4 linked regions of the Arabidopsis thaliana genome follow. The protein of the gene in region 1 interacts with the protein of each later gene in a pairwise test. Each region holds a gene or a part of one and is shown on either strand. Other genes may lie near its edges. The genes, in order: RCF3, AT5G06770, AT1G29120 and AT5G05190.

Region 1 (5,976 bases):
CCAACGAAATGTGAAGGAAATTTCAAAATCAAACGATAAAAATCATGCCTTTCAGAATCATTAAACCTCACCGTTGTAAGAATAACTTCTAATTTTCTGTATCGAACTCCTTGACAAGCGAAAAGGAGAGGATGATGAATCGCATTTTCATACTTGTGATAAGCTGTTCCTCTCGAGACTACATGCCGAATCACGTTTCTACTTTGCCCAACATAAGCCATTTTCTCGATTCAACAATATTCAGTGCGACAGTCTACAAAGAGAGATTCCACAACAAGGAGTGAGAAAACCCTAGAAAACGACGGATATAAGAGAACAGAGAAAACAAAAAGAGAAGTTAAGGAAGAATCAATCACCAGTGAAGCGGCAATGCTACGACGGTGGAAATGGCGACGGCGGTGCGATGCGACGTCTCTTTTTCACGAACTCGAAGAAAGGTGAAGCCGCAGGTGAGGTTTTAGCAGTGGCTATTTTTGTAAAATACGACTTAAGATTTATCTATGTTTTCACCCTAAACTTTATCTAGGGCAAAAACACCCCAATCTCAATGATGTTAACTCAAGTGAAACGCAGCGTTTAAGTTCTTCCAATATACATAGGGGTGGTGTGAATTAAAGATGAGTCTTTAATGATTAGTCATTCGGATTAAACTTTAATGACTTTTTTAAATAAGTTACAGAACAATGTAAACAAAGAAGACTAATAGACAACATAGAAACCAAAGAGTGATGGTCAAAATGTGGAATGTTCATCTAAACTACTGCTTACTGAAATCCTAATATTCAACAAGTCATACATAACTCCACATTTCTCAGTTTCTTGATCTTCATCTCTGTGTTGACTGATGATCTGGTCCAAGTTCACGGTCCATCCTCTTGTACTGCACCAAACAAGGAACGGAAATCAGACTTATAGATCAGTACAATACGGATATAAAAGTTTGGAAAGAGAGAAACTTACTGCTCAAAATGAAGCCTTGAAGCAAACTCTGAGCTCTCTCTGCTTGCTCGGGTGTACCCGAAATTCGAATGATATTCTGTGTTTCTTCTGGTCTGTCTTCAACTATGGTTACACTAGCTCCAGACCACTGTGATCAAGTGGGAAAGAGATAAGACAAAGCGTCAAAGATTTTGATTAGAGTCATGATTTGCACCAATCTAGTTCCAGTTAAAAAGAGTTCTACCTCACTGATTTGTGCAAGCTTGTTTCTTGATTTCGTAACGAGCTTAGGAACAACCGCCTCTGGTAAGACAACTTCAAGAGTGCTTCTAGTAACAAGTGGTACCGCCATTCTAGAGAAAAAAACAAAAAGCAGGAAGGAAAGGTGTGAAACAAGCACTTGTACGGTTTTGGGAAAATATATCAAATTTGGGAGTTTCTCTACCTGCTTGTCGTGACAGGAACCTCTTCCCGGTGTTCACTTTCACCCGCCTTTGCAACTGATCCGAAACCTTCCTATAAAAACCAAGAGAAAAATATATGTAAATATAGGGACATTGCACGAATGGACAAGAACCATAGACTACTTTCCAAGTATTCAGGTAATTATGCATAGCCTGATAGTAATATTACATTGTTTCGATGGCAAAAATAAGTCTGACCCTAACTGATTACAGATGCCTTTATATTGAAAAGATTGTTGATGAGAACAAAAACCTTAAACTGTGGCAAGATTGTGCTAACTTGCTGCAAGTTCAGATTCGAACTAGTAGGACCTTCACGAGATTGAATTGTGTTATTTGATGAAGCTACCTCCATTACTCCTGCAACACCTTCGAGAGGGCCAGTTGTGGATGTGGAAGCTGGTGGTGTCTCCTTTTGAGAGAGCTCCTTGAACATATGACTCCTCAATAGTAATGTTAATTCAACAAGTGCTTCCCGAGCAGCTCTGATCTCGCCAGTAATCTACATCGACATTCACATAAGAATTCTCTTTTGAGACCAGAAGTTGTTTAGAAAATGCTCGACTCCTCAAAAATAGACAAACATACCTGTATAACAACATCATTGATAGAAGCACATCGGGGAATTTCTTCCCTAGCTAGAATTTGTACGCTTGTTCCAGTTAATCGTGATATCTCAGATACTGATCCTGCTTTCCCTTCCAAACATATAGAGTCTCTAGATGGGACAAGTAATCTTGTTGTTATTAAATTATCTTTATCCGGAATAAGATCTATGATCTGAGTTTGAATGTGCAACAAGGCTTCTTGAGCAGGGAAAAATGGATCATCAGGTGCCTAAGCAAAGTAAGAATACAAAACTTCAAGTTCACAATTGTAAATGTAACAGATAATATTGAAGAAGATCTGAGGGTATTTAGAGTACCTCTTCCGAAGAAATGGTGATTATCTGTTCATCAGATCCAGCAACTGGGTCAGATACTCTAACGTCCACGCCGATCTCGTTCTGAAGCAAATCAATTATTCCTTGCGATTCCCCAACAACCCGAACAATCTTGTCAGCTGGGCAGAGAATCTGGAACACAAGCTCTTCGGAGTAGACATTCTCACCAACTGGAACTGCTGGAGCTTCTTCTGCATAGTTGGACTGGCGAGAACTGAAGTTGTTATTTCTAAAATTACCACGAGGAAACCTATCGGATGATTGTCTTCTTAGCTGTGGCATGTAATCATCCCCCGCAGCTGCAAACGACCGTTCTGGTGAATGTGAACGCCCTTGGAAATTACTCCGATCACGATGCTGACTCTCCCTTAGACGAGATGATACAATGGCTAAAGCGTTTTTCACTGCATTTAGTTCACCTACAATCTGAAAGAACCAACATTATAAATGCATTTCCCATAGGTAGAAAACACCAAAGAAAGCTTAAACATAACAAATAATGACCAAGCTAACTACATAAGAGTGATTCAACTCTTGTCAACAACCTCAACCTCACAATCACACATTTAAATTATCTAGCATTTCAATAAACTGACTACATTTCATATCAAAATCTCAACAAGATTCACCATTTCAAATATGTTCTCAAAATAGCAATTTTTCAGACCTGAACAATCTCTTCAGAGAGTGAAACACAACGAGGTAAGTTACTTTCTCTTGGAAGAATCCGAATATGAGTCTTAGTTTCAATCCTCATCTGCTCAATAATCTTCCCACCTTTACCCAACAAACAACCAACATGCATCCTAGAAACCACTAATCTAGTCACAACTCTCCCTCCACCAGGTCTAACTCCACCGTAATCCTCCTCCTCTTCCGGCGGAGGTCCACCATAACCAAACTGAGCTTCACTCTCCAAAATCCTGTCATGAACACTAAACAAAGCCTCTTGAGCAGGAGAGAAAGACGGCATTCTCCCATCAGGGTCACGCCTACGATTATCAGAAATCTCAATGATACGCTCTGCATCTCCAGGAACTAGCTCGTGCACGTTAATCCACGCGCCGGTGTGTTGCCTTATAGATTTGATAATTGTCCCGGATTTACCAATAACACCTCCTGCTTTAGCGTCGTGACAGAGGATTCGATAAGTCGTTGTTGCCATCGTTTCAGGATGAGACTTCGATGGCCGGCCATTTCCACCTCCACCACCGCCGCCGCCACGGTATCTGTTATTTCCTCCGCCGCCACCACCAAAGTGGTAATTATTGTTGTAGCGAGGTTTAGACCTAGGCATGGAATCTCCGTCATAGTCTTGGTCATAGTGGTAGTTTCTCTTGGATCTAGATCTCTCCATTTGAATAAAATCGCAAACCCAGAAATCAAAGTTCAAATCTTTAACTAGTCATTTATCAATCTCGCAGCAAATTTTTCGAATTCGAGGGTTTTCTGAAGGATTAGAAAGTTCACAAGCCCTAGAAGGAAGTCTACAGTACCCAATTACTTTCCTTTTTACCGGAAATTGAAAAAGGAAGGAACTTTCCGGTCAATTTCACAGGAATACTTGGAGGGAGAATTCAAGAATGTCCAAAATCGATGGAGGCGAATCGGTGCAATGCAAAAATCACCAGCTTTTTGTGTGTTTTGAGGGTTCTTTCCTGTGAATCTAAAAAGCCAAAGCTTTTTGAAGTTTGAGAGTAGAGAGAGACCGTGCAATGGGTGATGTTAGTGGCGTGCGCTAACTACGATATTAGCTACTCCCAAACGTTGTCGTTTTGGTCTCTTGGGAAATTTGGGTATGCTTCATCTTTAAAAACTCGTATTAAGCTAAATAAATTGTTAGACAAATGAATCGTCATCAGATTTTCGCATAGTTATTAGCACTGATGAAGATGAATTTTTGTGCTCACGTAACGTATTAGTAGATACTAAAAATGTATAAATAATTTTTTTCTAATAGGTAAAAATGATATGATTAATACGTAACCAATTAGATGATTTTTCGTGTTATGTACGAGACTAAAACTGTAGACACGTATGTGTTTTTTTCTAATTTAATTTTTAACTATTTATTAACCGCGGTATTATGTAATTAAGTACATATACTAAAACTGTTTTTGGAAAACAAAAAATCCTTTTAATATTTACCAGGTAAAGTATAATTGGTTTAGTGTTAAAGTTTAGCATATGGTAAAAATCATTTGGTGCATCTAAGTATTGCATCCGTTGAATACCATTTTCATCACCAATCCGTAAGGACAAAAAACGATTTACTATCCCTTTTCAGCAATTTAATTTGTATTGCTTCATTGACAAAATTAATTTTTCAAGAGTTTAAAAATAAAGAAACCAAACTCTCATTGCACTTTAAGTCTTTAACTAAATGATCACTTTTGATGAAAAAAAAAACTAAGGATCAGTTCACAAAAACAAGCAATAACAAATTAACAATACAAGAAAATCGTCTCGCACTTATGGTCAAAGACTCAAAGCTTAAGTTGTTGGTGGATCGTTTCGTCTAAATTGTGAGCCTTGACGGGCATAAGTACTTTCCAAATGATAGGTCTTCCCAACAAATATTTTCCGTTTCAGGAGAAGGTATTGCGTTTTCAGGTTGTGCTACGACAAGATGGTGACCTAAACTATATATAATGAAAAAGCAGCCACGAAGTCATGGAGGTTTTATTATCACATGTCCTGGTGAACAATTATCTAGTGTCCAGCATAAAATGTCAGTAACGATCTTGCCTTGTTTTGTGTCTCGATCTGTCTTCTCCTGAAACCACACCAATATAATATAAAGCAACGCGGATCAAAATAGCAAAACATTATAAAGTTCAACAAATTGAACCGGAGATTAAAATAGTGTAGTGACTACTTCAACAAATGGTCTAAGTTGCTATTGTTTTAGGTTAATGCTCCACTTGTGTTCAGACCCATTATCGCTTCTCTTATATATGATGCATATGAATTCCATTGACGTAGTACTACTTCTACTTCTAGCGTTTTTCACGTGCTATATTTCTATACAACATAGTTTTCTCGTGTAAAAAATTTGACCGTTGACCTTTGTTAGATATTACCCGCCAATAAAATCCAGCCGACCAATCCTACGTGGCAGTCCTAACCTCCACCCAAAAAACCGAACCGAACCACACCACAGACCCAATCTCTCTCTCTTCCGATAGAAAAGTCCTTTCCTTTCTTCTCCTCTTCTCCTCTCCGGTTATTCAAAATCTGATCCCACCCAGATATCAGAGTTTGAGAACAAAAAAAGCGATGCCGTTTTGCGAGGTCGTGAAAGAAGATGTCGGCCCAGAGACGACGCTTAACAATGCCGCAATCAAAATCTTCTACAGAACGTACGGTCATGGTCCTATCAAAGCTCTTCTCATCATAGGTCTGTTGTAATCTCCATCTTTCCCATTTGATTAGTTTCCTTAGCAATTCCGAGCTTGATTTCAATTGGGTTTTTCTAATTTTGTTCAGGTTTAGCCGGAACCCATGAGTCATGGGGTCCTCAAATCATGGGATTGACGGGAACGGATAAACCCAACGACGATGATGACGACGACGGAGGAATTGTTTCCGATGATTCCGGCATCGAGGTTTGCGCTTTCGATAATCGTG
Region 2 (4,361 bases), about 19 Mb from region 1:
CTCTTTAGGCAAAAAGGGTTTTTGATGTCGAAATCTTTCGCATTAGGTCGAGAGAGTTTTTGATTCAAACCTTCCTGATCCACATGAGCTTGATAAGGCCAAGAAGCTACTCAAGGTGAGCGATATGATAATTGATAAGAACTTTGTGACGAGATATCGATTGAAAGAAACAGTGAAGTGAAACTTGGTGTTGTTGTTATTGGATGATATAGGAACATGAACAGGCGCTTATTGCTGCCATTGCAAGGCTTACGGATGCTTCTGATTACGAAAGCGGTAATAAATGTGAACAGCGGCCTTTGTTTATTTCTATTTGTCATGCACTAAGATCACTAACAACAACATAATTTGTGCTGGTGAACCAGATGGAGAAGAACCGTATTCGCATGAGCTTCCAATGCTGCTGGGGTGAGTATGTATGACACCATCACCCCTAGGAAAAATGACTAGCAATATTTCTTTTTCTTCTGTTTTGCTTTAAGGGATCCCAGAAAATGATTTTGTTCATATATGATGAACAATTAGTAGTATTCTTCTAATTTGTGGTTTCAGAATGTATGAAAATAATCGTTAGGAATTTTGTTTGTAAAAACACTATTTTTAAAAAAAAATTCTGAACTTGTGTGATCATCATCAGGCTTGCCATCAGGATCGTTAATAATTTACTTGCTCAAATCCCCAATTCCTGTCTAAACAATGTAAAAAGAATCGAACCAAGCATGTAAATATTGAGAAGAGGCTTTTGACCTTTGAGCATAACATTCAAAATCTGATTCAATTAGCAAGAATATAAGATGGAAAGTGAGATCAACATAAATCACCTGTCACTGAATCCTTCAATTTTAAAAATATTTCAATGGTTACTTTACTTCAATTTATTTTATTGTTTTAAAAAAATATATTCAATGGTTATAAGAACGGTTAACAATAAATTAGTATCAGGGTTATCGTCTTATCGACCCGATGTTAGAAATTTTTTATAATTTTTCTTTTGTTAAAATGACAATCTTAATTCTTAATGGCAATTATATGTTCAATCTTAATGGCAATCTTAAACCGATCGATTATTCAAATTATATGTTCCGTATTTTTTTTAGATTGAATGTTATTGATAGAGTTATCAGAAAAAAATACTACTTTTTAGTTTAAATTACTGTGATTATGATAAAAAATTAAAACGCGCCAAACTTAACGATTTTTTTCCAAAATTTCTACAAATGACTCGTTACCCAAATTATTTTTTCTGTATTTTTTGAATATATTAAAACTAATGTGACTATGATAAAACAATTAAAACGCGCAAATTTAACAATTCTCTATTTTTGAAACCACTGGATGTGAATTAACAATAAATATAAAGTAATATGTGTACAAATAATCAGAGTTGAATATTTTTTTGGTGTTTATTACTTGCATGAGTACAAGTTTGATTCCAGTCTCATCAAATAAACTCTATTATTGTCAAAACATAAATTCATTCTAATGTTAATGTATATACTTTAAATTTATAGTAATCCATATAATTAATAATGGAATTAGTCTCCTGGTCTTTTGGTGTTCCACGAATTAATTTATATTATTAACAAATTAAGCAAACCTCTATCCCCCATTTATATTGTTGAGCTGTGTGTGTGGAGATGATGATGATGATGATAAACCCAATAGAATTTTAAAAGGATAAGAATCGCAAAGCTCATATCACAAAACTTTGAGATCTCATTTCATCTTTCTTCGATTCTACCTACTCCGATTCAATCGATCTTATCGAGACATGGATGCTCGTAAGAGAGGACGCCCTGAAGCTGCTGCCTCTCACAACTCCAATGGCGGATTCAAGAGGTCTAAGCAAGGTTTGTTCTTTCACTCCTCTCCTTCCTATTGTCTCCAATTGGGTTTTAGAAATTCGAGATCTTCACAACAAGAGAGAATGTTTTGGTATCACTTATGTTTGTTCATTTCTAGTTGCAATGTGTGCTCTGTCTCTCGTAAAGGTTGTTCCTTTGTTCATTTTTGTGTTCATTAGAGAGATTAGTCGCAAACCCTTTTTCTGCTTCAGTCTGGTATTACCTTACTTGAGAGTTGGGAGACAATTGATATGAGAAGTTTGTATCTTGTTCTGCTTTGTGTTGTGCTATTGGCTTACCCTTCTTCTCATATTCATTGGATTCATCAATCAACTCCCATTAGCCTTTGTGACCACTCAACATTACTGGATTTACTTGATTGATATATTGATCTGTATCAACTCAAGCTGTTGAGTTCAATTTCAAAACTCTATAACCCTGGAAATTTTCAAAACCAGAATGGTATACTGGTGCCAAGTCCAAATGATATGTATTGAGAAAATTGTAGAAAAGTTTAACCAAGTAAAAGCACTTAATGTTTGCAACAGAGATGGAATCAATTTCAACTGGTTTAGGAAGCAAATCCAAGCCATGCACTAAATTTTTCAGGTTATAAATCTATTTTTTTTCCTGATTGGATCATGAAATTAAGAAGTAATACTGTATAAAGTGTGCTAATGAAGTGGATAGTTGTTATACAGGTACGTAGCACTGTTCATCCTTAAACGAGTTAAAAAGTCAATGTAACAAACTGTGATTCCTCCTAAGAATGGATGATAAGCTTATATGGAGTATAATTTTGGAACTGAACTCTACTGGTGAATCTAATATACAAAATCAACCAAAACTTGTTTTTGTGGCTGTCGTTGTAAACAATTTGTTTATTCTTCTTCTGTTTGATGGTAAGGAAACTGTAATTTTGCATATGCAGCATAAAACCATTGTTCTCAAGTAAGGTTCTTCTTGCATTATCTTTGAACTATCCATGAGTCTTTCGGCTCCTGTGCAACGTGTTGTTCATCGGTGATGCATAATGACTACAATCTGTTTTATTACTTTATAAATTTCTTTCATTATCTTTGTACTAAAACGCTATAGCTTTTTCGAGAAGGTAGCAATAGTGCAACAGCTTGGAGATGTGTCGTTTTGTTCTTTCTCGAATGAATTTGCTGATGCATTATGGTTTGTACTGCAGCACTTCTGGATGTCCATTTGGTGACAATTGCCACTTCTTGCACTATGTGCCCGGTGGGTACAATGCTGCAGCGCAGATGACAAATCTCCGACCACCGGTTTCTCAAGTTTCCAGAAATATGCAAGGATCTGGTGGTCCCGGCGGCAGATTCTCAGGGAGAGGAGATCCAGGATCAGGCCCTGTTTCAATCTTTGGTGCTTCTACTTCCAAGATCAGTGTAGATGCTTCTTTAGCCGGTGCCATCATTGGAAAAGGTGGAATCCATTCCAAACAGATATGCCGTGAAACAGGAGCAAAATTATCGATTAAAGATCATGAAAGAGACCCAAACTTGAAGATTATCGAGCTGGAAGGAACATTTGAACAGATCAATGTAGCGAGTGGGATGGTGAGAGAGCTTATAGGGAGGCTTGGATCAGTGAAGAAACCTCAAGGGATTGGTGGTCCTGAAGGGAAACCACATCCTGGGAGCAACTACAAAACCAAGATCTGTGATAGGTACTCTAAAGGGAACTGTACATATGGAGATAGATGCCATTTTGCTCATGGTGAATCTGAGCTGCGCAGGTCAGGAATCGCTTAGTTATGTCTTTAGACTCTTGAGAACAGATTATGCATTGTTAGCTCCATTATCATTGTGACTTTTTGCTCTCTCTTTTTGTTTTATCAATTTGTTTTATGCGACTCGCTTTGAAAACTTTAGCCCATTCTGTATTGAGCTCTGAAGATTCGACGAGTTCTGTAAGTTACCGATCACAGTTAAAAGACTTTGATATGTTAAAACCCTTATATTACAGCTACATACTATTTTTGTCTTAACTCTTAAGATATCATGCACAATAATATACTTGTTTTGTCTTAACCTATCGATTACAAAACCGGGTTAACCGCCGACATGAGGCGAACTCTAAAGCCTAACACGCGTCAACATCTATCTTCTCAACGACTCAAAGGCTTTCCAACACGTGTAGGACCAATAACTGAAACACAAAGCCTACCACCTCTTCTTCCTCTTCTTTCATGACACGTCTCACTGACGTGTCGTCAAGAACGTAATTAAATATTAAACTATCGTGACGAACGCGAGGCCTATGGCTATATCTATGGGACATGCTCGGTGAGCAAAACAATAAACAAAAGTAATCAGAAGATATCTTTGTAACATCTTTGAATTTCGCTAAAGGAAAAGAGAGAGATTTGGTAAAAATGCAGTCGATGAAAGAAACAGCTTCGAATATTGCAGCTTCTGCAAAATCTGGCATGGACAAAACCAAAGCTACCTTGGAGGAAAAGGTAACAGAATTGTGGTTATTATTAATTTA
Region 3 (6,514 bases), on another chromosome or scaffold:
GAAGACAATGAAGAATTTGGCCATTATGCCTTAATCCTTTTTTTTCTTGTGTTTTTACTTCGGTCTTCTCCTCTCTTGGATTTGAGAGTTTATTTGTAAAATTTAGTTTTTAAGGGAGAACAAATTGTAAGCTTTGGTTGAGAGGAGACGCTATGATAGATCCAACCAAATATCTCCTTTTATAGAGAACAAATAGACAAAACAACAAAACCATGTGATTCTATATCTATTTTTGGAAGTTTTTTTGTTTATTTTTGGTGTTTTTGTTCTTGAGTTTTGTACGGCTGTGTTTTCCTTGAACCCGATCTTTTCTCATTGCCATCTGTTTTTCTTTTCTGTTAATAATTCTTCATAGATTCCGTTTAGGTCTTTTTTGTATGAGGATGGTTTCCCAAATGTCAATCTATAGAATCTTATGTATGTTTAGACCTCCACTAAAAAGATTCAATGGGGGTGGAGAATTATCTACTAGACCCCAAAGTGAAAGTTTTATTAGTAGTAAATGACTAATTAATCTGAGCCGCACATGAAAGCTTTTGCACAATTTTCTTTGAATTAAGAAAAATTCCAAAAACAAATTGACTAGAAACAAATGTCTTCAGCTGAATCTGTTATTTTGAAGAGTAGAGGTTGAACATATATAACTTTTCTCTTTAAGAAACCTTAATCTATAATAACATCTTTCAAGTGTTGTATCATCAACAAGCTAATACAAGAAAATCATGTACAGATGAATTGGATTGTACTTCTTCTGATTTCGCCAAGAAAAAAAATAGAAGAAGCAAAGATGCGAACATTCTTGATCTGCACCGATCTCCCAAACTGTATGGTAAAAGCAAAACACAGGAATGGTTCAAATGTCGTAGCACACTCAGCATTAACGGGTCAAACACTCGAAATGCTCACGATTTATAAGCTGGCGGTAATAAACGTGGAAGACTCTTGCTGTTTTATACTATCTGCAACGTGTGCAATAACTCCAGCTCCTGCTTTGTAAAGTCTTTCACTTTTCACCTGAAACAAGACTCAAAATCTCTGTTAGTCCATGTTTCAAAGAATTAAAAAGCTCCAAAGTGAAGATGTTGGAAGTTTACGTGAATGTTGTTATGAGCTAAGTAAGGCCAGAAGGTGGAGTGGAAGCTGACATCAACTTTCTTCCACCCCAACCTCTGCAGACCGCGGATCATTTCCTCTGCACCAATATTTGTATAAATTGTAAATCTCATGCCGATTTAGAAGAATCAATCAAATGTTTGGGCTAATTCTACACCTTCCACAATTTCATGATACTCAAGTGTGTTCTGAGGGCTAGGAGAGCTTTGTGCGGCCTCCTTGGCTTTAGCAGCTTCTGGAGGGAAATGGGCACCATCTGATGAAACAGGTGGACAGTATTCAACATCAACAACATGCTTGTATCCATCCAGAGACCGGCGTGAAGGCTATATTAAAACAGGGGAAAAACATATCTATCAGATCTCACTCGTGACAGCTAAATAATTTTCAAAGTTTCATTTGACTGGTTACAAGCCACAGAGAGCTTCTTGCACGAAGCTACTTGAGATAAATGAATTGCCGAAAGTATTTTTGGTGATTCTCTACAGACAATTGTTTCATTTCTTAGACTCTTTACCTCTATGAAACTTTCCCTCTATGATTACTCATAATTCCAAAATTCAGGATAAGTTAGCTACCGTTAGCATTTCACAGCAAGCTAACTATCAATATCGATGACCCCATCATCTAGCTAGTGTGTGCTACACGTTTCAGAGTCGAAATCAACTTACATAATAGAAGGAACATGAAAACAAGTGGGGTAATATTAAATAGAAAGGTTCCATTGCTTCATATAGCATGAAACGTACCTTGATAAGTTCAGTTTCTCTCCTAATGGAAGATGTACGCCAACCAACCATGTCTACTTGATGTCAAAGGAAACAGTTCAGAAAACAAATGCAGACACAGCTAGGCACATCTGTACTAGTTAAACAGCAACAGAAATGCACAGGATACGGTCATAAGATACGTTTGCATATATAATGCGACTTCGAAATGCCCCCAGCGCCGATCTGCCAGACAATGAAATGCATTAGGATTACAGATAAGTCATTAAGGGGTCGAATGATTTAAATTGGTAAGAGCATTACTCACAAGAATTTCAGATCTTCACCATCAGATGCCATCCTCAAAAGAAGAGGTGGTTTATCAGCTTTACCATCAGTGAGGAACAACTGACTACCAGTCCGACCAACAAAGAATGGAGCTATTGGTGCAGCAAGTTTCTCAAGAATAGGAACTCCCAACAGAAAAGGCAGCTGATACAAGGGGTTCCAGAAAAAGAGGAGAGAATGAGATAGAATTTACAGGGATTATCAATTAATATTCATCACTCATCAGTCTAGACACTTAGGGGACCAAATAGCAAAAAACGCAAGACAGTTTTGATGAAACTTATGATATCTGTCTGAACACAAGGAGAAGGTAGATGAAATTTACATGTGAAAAACGACTAACTACTTTCTTAATTACGCATACACCACATCTACGTACAGGTACTGCGAGATATATATGAAACTCTTTGATTCCAAAATTCCAATTATGATAAGTAGAGAAGAAGAGAACCTGCTTTCTGCCTCTCACTCCTAGATGAGGTGTTGCCAAAGTGATGAAATTAATCGGTTCTAGCCCCGCAATCCTACCTCGCAGAAGATTTGAATTGCCAGATTGAGAGACAGCAACATCACTTACTTGTGCCATTGCTGCTGAGTAAAGAACAGCAACAGCATGTCTGGAAAATAAGCCACCGAGGGAGTGGGCTAAAAACGAAATCTTCTTTAAGCTCTTGCTCTTTTGGACAACTTGTCTAACCTATTCCTCTCTCACATCCAGAATGGGAACAGAAATCAGCTCATGTACTGAAGTTAAGGGCTAGAAAACCAAGACCTACCTATACACGAGGTGCAAATGAAGATATTAAAACTCACCTCTTCTGCTAGTCGTTTTCCAGCTCCATCGATCCCGCCAAATGTTTTAGTGAAGGTATTGGAAGAACTTGCTGTGAATGTTCAGGAGAAACAGAGTAAATTAAAACACATCACGTGTGATCCATTCCACGCATAGCATAAAAGCACATGAGTATTATAATAAAATACAAAACTAAAGAAGAGTTGTGGTTCCAGACGAAAAGATCTTAAATTTTTCAAGAAAATGTATATTTCGCCTCTTGCCGCTAAAGATTATATAAGACCTTGAAGTGTTTTCAATTTTGTGCCCAGCACATGCATTCAACTTACGTTACCATTTCATTCCCAAAAATTCTCTTCTATTATACATACAATCCAACAACTACTCAACTAAACTAATAGATGATAACAATTTAGAACAAGATGAGCATACCATAAATCAAGAATCTTCTTCCAAGGCGTCTTTTCAGCTCAGCTTCTACGTAGAGCCAGTCGCTGGGACTGCAAGTAATTGTGTCTTAGTAAATTTGGAGTCTATAAATTATTCAATCTGAAAACAAAGTAGCAGAAATGATAGACATAACTTTCTTTCTTTTTTTTGACAATGATAGACATAACTTTCAAATTCAAATACTTGCAAGTTTCTATCCAACCTAAAACAAAACCATGAGGGTTTCCCAAGATGCAAACCCAGTACCATTCAATTGATGAACTACTTAGAAATAATACCTGGCCAAAATACCATGTACAAGAACAAGAAGATGATCAGGTTCATTTTTGTCATCGGAGTCGCCTTTCGATAGCGAAAATTTCCGTTGGGCTGTGGAACTCATTGCCTGAACCCTGCGTCCCTGTTGGTTCCAGCTTCTGTTTGACCCTTCTTAAAGAAAAATCAAACAAATGAACCCGCGGAAAAAGCTATAAAGAACAGAGCCAATTCTTAACCAAACAAATCATACTATCACCATTTCTACTTAGCTTCTCACAATCATTTAACATGTTCAAGCTTATTTTCGATCGCAGAAACAGGGAAAAATCTGTTTAAATAGACACCGAAATTGTGAGCTCTAAATCAAAAGAAAAACAGAGCCGATTCTTGACCAAACAAACCATACTATCACTAATTCTACTTGGCATATCACAATCATCTAACATCTTAAAATCTTCTATCTCTTGCAGAAACAGGGACAAATCTGTGTATATAGACACTGTAATTGAGCTCCTCCTCAATCTAAATTAGGCGATACTATTCTTCACCATCCTAAACAACGTCTTTGATCGAGAAATCCTCAGCTATGAAACTTTGCAGTACAATGTCAGGTCATTTCCAGATGTAACAACGCATCATTCGATAAACATGAACAAAGTAATCAATCCCTAAATCTACACGACAAACATCATTCGAAGATCAAAGCCTATTACCGAAATCGAAATTCAAAATCTCCGAATAACCACAGGAGCACGAGGATGAAGGCGAAGGAGAAGAAGCGGAAGCTGAAACAACGCCGGAGGAAAACTGCCGCGCGCTGCGAGAGCTTGGCTTAGAGAAACCGCCACGATCCGGTAAGTATCTAAAAGGAGGTTGTTGAATCCAAGAAGAAGCCGTAGACATATTGATGTTGAGCTTATATATAGAGAGAGGAGAGAAAGTCAAAATCAGAGAAAGGAGTGGAAGAAAGATCCTTGATTCACGGTTTCTGAGTGACGTCACGCTTCAGAATCAAACATAATAACTCTCTCTACGTTATCTTCTTCACAGAGACCCATGCTCCTCTCTATCTCTTCCATTCACTGCCAAATAAACATTCAATCATCATCTTCTTCGACTTTTGCCAATTTATATAATTTGATTTTATTACTTTTACTTTATAATTTCGGGTGGTGCGTGTTGTTGTTAGGCGACTCAAACACAGAATATTTTTATTCCGTTTTATATTCAAAAAAAGGTTTAGAATCGGACCAGGTTCTTCTTCTTCTTCATCAACCAATTCACTCCAAAACAAAGGTCAAAAGAATACTATTTACAATTTTTTGGTATATATATATATATATATTTTCTGTTTTAAATTTTTAATCAATACTGCTAGTAGTTTTTTTTTCTTTTTTTTGGTGTAAATGGTAAGATAACACCAAAATATATTTGTCTACTAAACCGAGTAAAATTTTTATGGTTTTTGTAAAAATCCAATTGTTAACTTGTTAGTGATGCTTTCCAAAAAAGCCCTTACATGATATTGTCAAAGGGGTATCTAAATATCATATGGTGCGAATTGGTTATGTATATGTAGTGTACTAGTGTGTCGTCGTGGACCTCGAGGTATCATATGTAACCGGGTGTTGTAGATGTTGTTATATTGAAACTAAACTTTTATTTGGACAAGTTAAAAAAACAAATCAAGCTTAATGATGGATTCATATATAATTTTTTTTTGTTTTTTTGCTAATCTACTTATAATACTGCCTAAGGTATCTTAATCATAAGGATATCATGTCAAGATATCCATTATTGGTCGCAGAAATTTAAAGAGTTCCAATTCCTTTTCACAAAACGTTGCAACAATGTTGCCGCTTACCATTTAGCTAATATGGATGTGTAGATTCACCTTTCTATTTGGATGTCTCTAATCCAGCCCCATGGATTTGCCATCATTTGTACTAGTTTGATATTCGATTAAAGTTAATAAAGGTTCATTTTCGATGAAAAATAAAATCAAAATCTACTTGTAATTAACACGTCTTACACTATAATTTTAGTTTTATTAGCGATAATTTTAAATTTGGTTTTAAAATTTGCATTGAAAATTCAAACAATGTTTCTTATGGAACACGATTTAAGTGAAAAACACATCCCTTTATTTATTATGAAAGTGAGGGAAATACGTTTATATGGAGTAATAAAATGAACATATTACAGTTTTTAAGGTCAAGTTTAAGTTGCAATTTTACCACATGTAAACAATCATAAACCAGGCTACAAAATGTATGATCACTTCAATATAAAAAACCACCTAAGTAAATTAGTTAAAAAACCGGATAAGCAGCAACCTGAGCTATACCACACATTCCTTGAGGCCACTCCACATCTCTACGGATCCTCATGTAACCATTTTCTCCCCAACTCTCACCCCAAGAGTTCTTAAGAACCCAGTAGTTGAGCCCACTCATCGTTCCGTACCCAACGATCGTCACTGCATGATTCACGTCTGTCCCACAGTCCAGCCCAGCGTACACTCCCCCTTTGTAATGACCGAAACTGTCCGCTCTTGCGTCAATCAACACCGAGACGGGCTGTCTTCTTACGGCCTCGAGCAACGCACGCTCGTTGTGGCTTGGAACCATTTGAAACCCTCTAATCTGTGTATGTGGGGCGCGTCTGGCGTTGGCACGACAACTCTCCTTTTTCACTTGGTAAGGGTATTCCGTTTCTAAAGAAACGCCTCCGTTTTTTATTATGTACTTGAAAGCTTCTTCAAATTCTCCGCCATTGCAACCACCGTTTTTCTCTATGTCGCAATCTATTAGCTGTTGTTCGGACAGTGTTAATAGATTTTTGC
Region 4 (5,075 bases), about 20 Mb from region 1:
AATCTCTTCTTGCAGGAACTAGATACAGAGATAGTAGTGGCTACAGCTCGTGGAACAAATTCAGACACTACTGCTGTTGCTGCTAACGTAGTTATGGATGAGAGACAGATGAATGCTCTTTTCCTCGACCTGGTAAGCAGTTAGACGTAATTTCTTAAGGATTTTTTTTTGGTTTGAAAGTTGTTAAGAGGATATAGAAGTTGCATTGAGTTAAGATAAACCCCAGGATTTGAGCTTTCAGCAGTTGAAAATAAGTTCACTTTCTTATAGGTGCGTGTTAGCGAATCATATGGTCTTAAGTTCCCGAGAGAGTTTGCACTTCTGTTGAAGCAACTTCTGTACTTCGATCGATACACAAGACTATTAGCCCCAAACCTGAACATGCTGCAGGATCAGCGGATCTCTATCGCGTCCAACAAGAGGACGAATGGATACAAGGACAGCTTCAACTAAGTTTATGCAAATATACTTCACTAAACCTATTCAAACTTTTTATTTATTTACAAGTGGTAATGTTATAGTAGATTATCAAGCCAAGAACGATGATGAATTCAATCTTGTTACAAACATATCATGACTATATACAACAGATGAACTATATCTTCTTCTATTTTTTTGTATAATTTTTCACAAGTGTCATGGTTTCTACTTTAAACAAAAGTGCAGAGACAAATCTTTTACCTATACACAGAAGTGAAATAAAGAATGGCAAACAATGGCAAAACTTTCCATCTCAGATTCTCAGAAGTTCATAGTTCTCGTTGCTTCATCTGAAGCAGAGATCTATATAGAAGGAGGACGCTGTGAAACTTTAAAGACTTGGCTTACAGTAGAATATCCCATTAGTCGGTGAAGCGGAGAGCCTCTAGCCACAGGTAGCTCCTCATCCTGAACAGAGGATCTCAGCTTTTCAGGTTTGGAGGGAGCTTTGTCTATGGGAGACTCTGATGTTGAATTGCTATTCCTATTAGCATTTATGTCATGTGTTACTGCAGGAACTAAATGATTTCTGGACTGAAGTGAGAATCTGAGAACAGTGGTGCAAGTGCCGCATCTGAGAAGATGATGTTTCCTCTTGAAAATGAGAAAGTCTACAGGAAGCTGCAGGTTTTCTGAGCAACTGTAACAGCTAACAAAAGGTGCCCCACCAGCTGTTGGACGGACATGACGCTTGGCCACACGTTGTCTCTCTCTTAGACGACGGGTCTGTAACTCATGGTGGTGGCCAGCATGTCTATTACGCTGATGATCCTCCACGTCTGAGACTATCTCACGCCTCCATCTCGGATGATACTCAGGTTGTTCCATTGGTCTCTGTGGACTTGCAGAATATGAACTGTAAGAATTATGAAGCTGACCTGAATACCAACCGCCATGGTTTCTTCCCATTTCACCTGAGATCCTACTTCCTTGGCCCTGACCTCTTGCCCTTGGGTTGTTGTGATACATATAGTCAACAAAATCGTGGTTCATGCCTCCAGCGTATGAAGGCATTTGAAGTGAGTGTGCACGGGGATAGCGATCAAACTCATCATGTGACGGATGGGAAGGGCTTCCACGTGTGTATGATTCTCTCGGATAGAAAGGCATGTCAGGCCGAAGTTGTTCTGTCACATGTCTCCTCCCTTGTCTGCCAAGGCGCCCTCCTGGTCCCTCTAGCTGTAGAGACCTGTTCTGATGCCGCTCGTTGTATGTGGTAATCCCATTGCGCCTATTCTCAGAGAAAGGGGAGGAGGAACTAGCGCCTTGCTCCTTATACCCAGGGTATCTATGCATCTCAAATTTGCCTGATCTTATTTTCTGAAGAGCATTCCATTGTTCGTCATCATCGAGAAGTTGGCCTTCCCTTTCGTCAGAGGAAGACTCACTCCCATCATAAGCAGAAGAAGTCTTGTTTGCAGGATAATCAAGTTGGCTTTGCTTCTCTTCAACAGGGGAAGCATCAGGTGAGATCTCAGCATTGCCAGATGAATTACTCGCTCTTGCAGCCACCACATCATAAGCAGAAGGAGTCTTGTTTGCAAGAATGTCAAGTTGGCTTTGCTTCTCTTCTACGGGGGAAGCATCCGGTGAAATCTCAGAGTTACCGGATGGATTACTCGCTCTTGCAGCCACCACATGATCAACGCTCAAGCTTCCAGAGCTAGATCCAGATCCTGCAGCTTCTGCTACGGTGTTCATCATATGAGACTCCAATCTGGAGTTGTCTTCTCTTTCATTCTTCTCAGAATCACCAAGTGAACATTCCTGCTCTTGAATTTCATTTGTCCCATCTCCATTAGATAACTCTAAGTCATCAAGCTCCTTCTCCGTAGACTCCATGGATGCATTCCTACCTTTCTCATACTCTTGGTCCACGGAACGACCTGGAGATGACGGCAGAACCGTGTCCTGCCCCGAGCTGCTGGACACATTGTTGGTTTCAGGTACGCTTTGCGGCTCATTGGCTTGAGCCCTCTCTGTCTCTCCTGCACTTGGTGTACTGCTTGGAGCAATGTTCCGCCTTTTCGCTGAATCAAAGAAGCAACAACCAAATTTAATAATGAAAGAGATCATGCCACAAAACACAACTGGTTTGAGCTCAGACATCCAAACAGATGGACAACCAGGAGTAGAACAAAGCCAGATTCAGGGACAGAGTTCACATTATAATCAGAGGCAAAATCGAAATGGAAAGAAAGTTACCTTGAAGAATGGCGGAACAACCACCGCACTGATAAACAGGAACATCTTCGTCTTCCTGTAGAATCTTCAAGCACTTGGGACACCTCACCAACCGAATTTTCTGACCCGTCTGGCTCGCCATTGTTGGTACCAAATTTCAAAGACTTAACTCTACTTTTGTTATTTTTGGGTTATAACTCTACCTCATTAGTTAGAGAATCATCATCAACAGAACCCAGAACCCTAATAAACAGAGAGAGAGAGAGGAACCAAAGTAAAAGATTGAAACTTTGTGAAGTTCTTTAAAAGAAAATGGGAGAGGAGACCAGAGGAAGAAGGTCAACGCGGTGTGACTTTTAAGGAGGAGAAATGGTATAACCCGGGTCTGGTCTGAGAGCTGGTTACGGATCCGGGTAGAGATGAAAAATGGCGAGAAGGAAAAGATTACATGATTCAAGAAGCCATGAAAATTGTGTAAGATCCTCCACAGAAGAATCAAAGTAAAACTCTTTGCAGAGAGTTATTATAACTCGAGGGATTGTGGAAGAATAAACCCAGAAGTTGAAGATTTTATAGAGAGAGAGAGAAAGAATGAGATAGAAATAGAGAGGAGAATTTCTTGTCGTGGGGGCGAAGTAGAAGAAGAAGAAGAAGAATTGAGAGAACAGAGACAAAAAAACAAAAACAAATCGTTGGACAGACAGTTTTTTTTTTTTTTTTACTATGGTTTCTCTCTTTTCTTGTTTTTTTCCTCTGAGAAAAGTCTCTCTTTTTCCGTGTCTAAAAAGTTTTTTCTTTTTAATATCTCTTTGAGGAATTTTTTGGTATCTTTTTTCATTCTTGCAAGTCAATTAGAACATCAACGACTCGTTCTCTAATCACTATTCTTTCTTAAACAAAACCCAGTCTGTTGTTGATCTTTTCAATAAACAATATTGGCCCAATTTTTTTCTAAAGAAAGCATCTGCAACAGAGCTTTGTTAGAAGAATTAAGTAGAGGAAGATAAGAGAAAGAGTAAATTGGGTTCAGCTAAATAAAAATTTGGATAAAGAGTTATAAATGGAATGGTGTTGTTAATGTCGGCGCCTGTTTCATTTATTTTGGATAGAGAAATTTTAGCCCCACTACTACTTCCATTTTTCTCATTTATTGATCCCAGTCCTTTTTTTCTTACTTTTTACCATTACCTTCTTAAATATTTCCTAACATTCGAAGTTTGAATATTCCGGTAAATGACTAAATGTTGCCAAGGGAAATTAAATTACCGTGAATGTTGAAATGAATTGGGTTCCACATATTTATTTCTAGGACCTGACAAAAAGCATAATGATCATATGTTTTTCGTATATATATTTATATCACTGGTCGAATTTAACGAACTTTTCATTTTTCTAATGAGAATTCACTAGCCGTGTGAGTGTTTTCAATCACTTTTATTTATAACCAGACAAGTTGAGTCTTTGGTTCATAACCTTTTTAGGTATGAAACCAGTTTTCAAATATAGCACCTACAAAGAATTTGAAATTGATAGCAACGTAACAAAATATTAATCTTCAAATTGGTTCATAAAGTTTTAGGGAACTTGTGAGAAATAAATGAATAAAAGTTTTGTAGGGCTATCTCAAGTCAAATAGTATATATTAAGTATTAACGTACATGTATATCACATTATTTTTTAACGATATGAAAAAAAACTAAGGTAATGGTCGACAGACTCGGTCTTTTATCGTTTTGTGCTGTCTAGTTTCTCTACTTTCTAGATTATCGTTTTGGCTTTGTGATTCTGTAAAAGTCAACCTTTGTTGTGGTGTCCTATTTCTTTGTAGACTTAATTAGAGGTTGCTTCAATATTTGTTTTCTCTGCACAATCCAATGACTAACGGGATACGATTCACAAAACGAATCAAATCAAATCAAGTTCAATACCATTCGAGTCTTCTTCTTCACAGATTACAAATTCGATTATGCGTTGACTCTTTAATTGAGTCAATGGTTTGGACCACTACATGGTTTGTAAATGTTTATTTCTATTTCAAATCGCTAGCTGTTACCTAACATTCAGGACATGAACAAAAACTATCTTACTAAAAAAAAGTCAAAATTAAAGTTTCAAATGTATAAAAGATAATATTGGAGGTCAACTCCCATTTGACAACATTCATATATAGTTATAAATTGATTTTGTTTTTCTATTTACTGTGTTCCCATGATGTTTCGTGAACACATGAAGTTATGGTATTGAATAGAATGGATTTTCTTTTAGTTTTTGGTTTATTCTACAGAACAAGCTCTTGAAATAACTAAAAAATTCACTAACTAAAAACTTGTGATATATACCATGCTGGTTATATTCGCACAACGATTGCAATCATAATTGGCTACTATAGACGATTTAATTGATAAGAATAT

What was found.
Region 2: the proteins of RCF3 (region 1) and AT5G06770 interact in a two-hybrid assay, tested with the Arabidopsis thaliana proteins (one large-scale study listed by BioGRID).
Region 3: the proteins of RCF3 (region 1) and AT1G29120 interact in a two-hybrid assay, tested with the Arabidopsis thaliana proteins (one large-scale study listed by BioGRID).
Region 4: the proteins of RCF3 (region 1) and AT5G05190 interact in a two-hybrid assay, tested with the Arabidopsis thaliana proteins (one large-scale study listed by BioGRID).

Annotation. Positions count from the first base shown.
Region 1 is NC_003076.8:21,513,082-21,519,057, reverse strand, and holds RCF3 (RNA-binding KH domain-containing protein), read right to left. Parts: upstream 4,163-5,976; 5' UTR 3,704-4,162; coding exon 3,014-3,703; intron 2,773-3,013; coding exon 2,329-2,772; intron 2,241-2,328; coding exon 1,992-2,240; intron 1,906-1,991; coding exon 1,657-1,905; intron 1,456-1,656; coding exon 1,385-1,455; coding exon of another isoform or gene 1,381-1,384; exon of another isoform or gene 1,353-1,380; intron 1,293-1,352; coding exon 1,184-1,292; intron 1,088-1,183; coding exon 961-1,087; intron 881-960; coding exon 861-880; 3' UTR 511-860; downstream 1-510. Other genes in the region: AT5G53070 (Ribosomal protein L9/RNase H1), read right to left, coding at 72-221; AT5G53050 (alpha/beta-Hydrolases superfamily protein), read left to right, coding at 5,626-5,746, 5,836-5,976. UniProt on the Arabidopsis thaliana protein: Acts as a negative regulator of osmotic stress-induced gene expression. Involved in the regulation of thermotolerance responses under heat stress. Functions as an upstream regulator of heat stress transcription factor (HSF) genes.
Region 2 is NC_003076.8:2,090,198-2,094,558, reverse strand, and holds AT5G06770 (KH domain-containing protein / zinc finger (CCCH type) family protein), read left to right. Parts: upstream 1-1,557; 5' UTR 1,558-1,771; coding exon 1,772-1,850; exon of another isoform or gene 1,851-2,379; coding exon of another isoform or gene 2,380-2,392; coding exon 2,393-2,453; exon of another isoform or gene 2,454-2,980; coding exon of another isoform or gene 2,981-3,039; coding exon 3,040-3,622; 3' UTR 3,623-3,856; downstream 3,857-4,361. Other genes in the region: EML2 (Emsy N Terminus (ENT)/ plant Tudor-like domains-containing protein), read left to right, coding at 47-115, 213-276, 366-412; LEA4-5 (Late Embryogenesis Abundant 4-5), read left to right, coding at 4,246-4,332.
Region 3 is NC_003070.9:10,172,539-10,179,052, reverse strand, and holds AT1G29120 (Hydrolase-like protein family), read right to left. Parts: upstream 4,867-6,514; 5' UTR 4,573-4,866; coding exon 4,383-4,572; intron 3,841-4,382; coding exon of another isoform or gene 3,838-3,840; coding exon 3,690-3,837; intron 3,462-3,689; coding exon 3,394-3,461; intron 3,053-3,393; coding exon 2,982-3,052; intron 2,866-2,981; coding exon 2,620-2,865; intron 2,313-2,619; coding exon 2,149-2,312; intron 2,067-2,148; coding exon 2,011-2,066; coding exon of another isoform or gene 1,982-2,010; exon of another isoform or gene 1,919-1,981; coding exon 1,863-1,918; intron 1,440-1,862; coding exon 1,271-1,439; coding exon of another isoform or gene 1,242-1,270; exon of another isoform or gene 1,193-1,241; coding exon 1,095-1,192; coding exon of another isoform or gene 1,059-1,094; exon of another isoform or gene 1,015-1,058; coding exon 910-1,014; 3' UTR 907-909; exon of another isoform or gene 823-906; 3' UTR 532-822; downstream 1-531. Other genes in the region: AT1G29140 (Pollen Ole e 1 allergen and extensin family protein), read right to left, coding at 1-24; AT1G29110 (Cysteine proteinases superfamily protein), read right to left, coding at 5,982-6,514.
Region 4 is NC_003076.8:1,539,584-1,544,658, reverse strand, and holds AT5G05190 (hypothetical protein (DUF3133)), read right to left. Parts: upstream 3,442-5,075; 5' UTR 2,807-3,441; coding exon 2,686-2,806; intron 2,511-2,685; coding exon 784-2,510; 3' UTR 522-783; downstream 1-521. Other genes in the region: AT5G05200 (Protein kinase superfamily protein), read left to right, coding at 16-132, 271-453. UniProt on the Arabidopsis thaliana protein: Plays a negative role in salicylic acid (SA)-mediated resistance to powdery mildew (e.g. Golovinomyces cichoracearum). May modulate plant immunity by regulating the relocation of EDR1 by interacting with CHC2 and modulating endocytosis.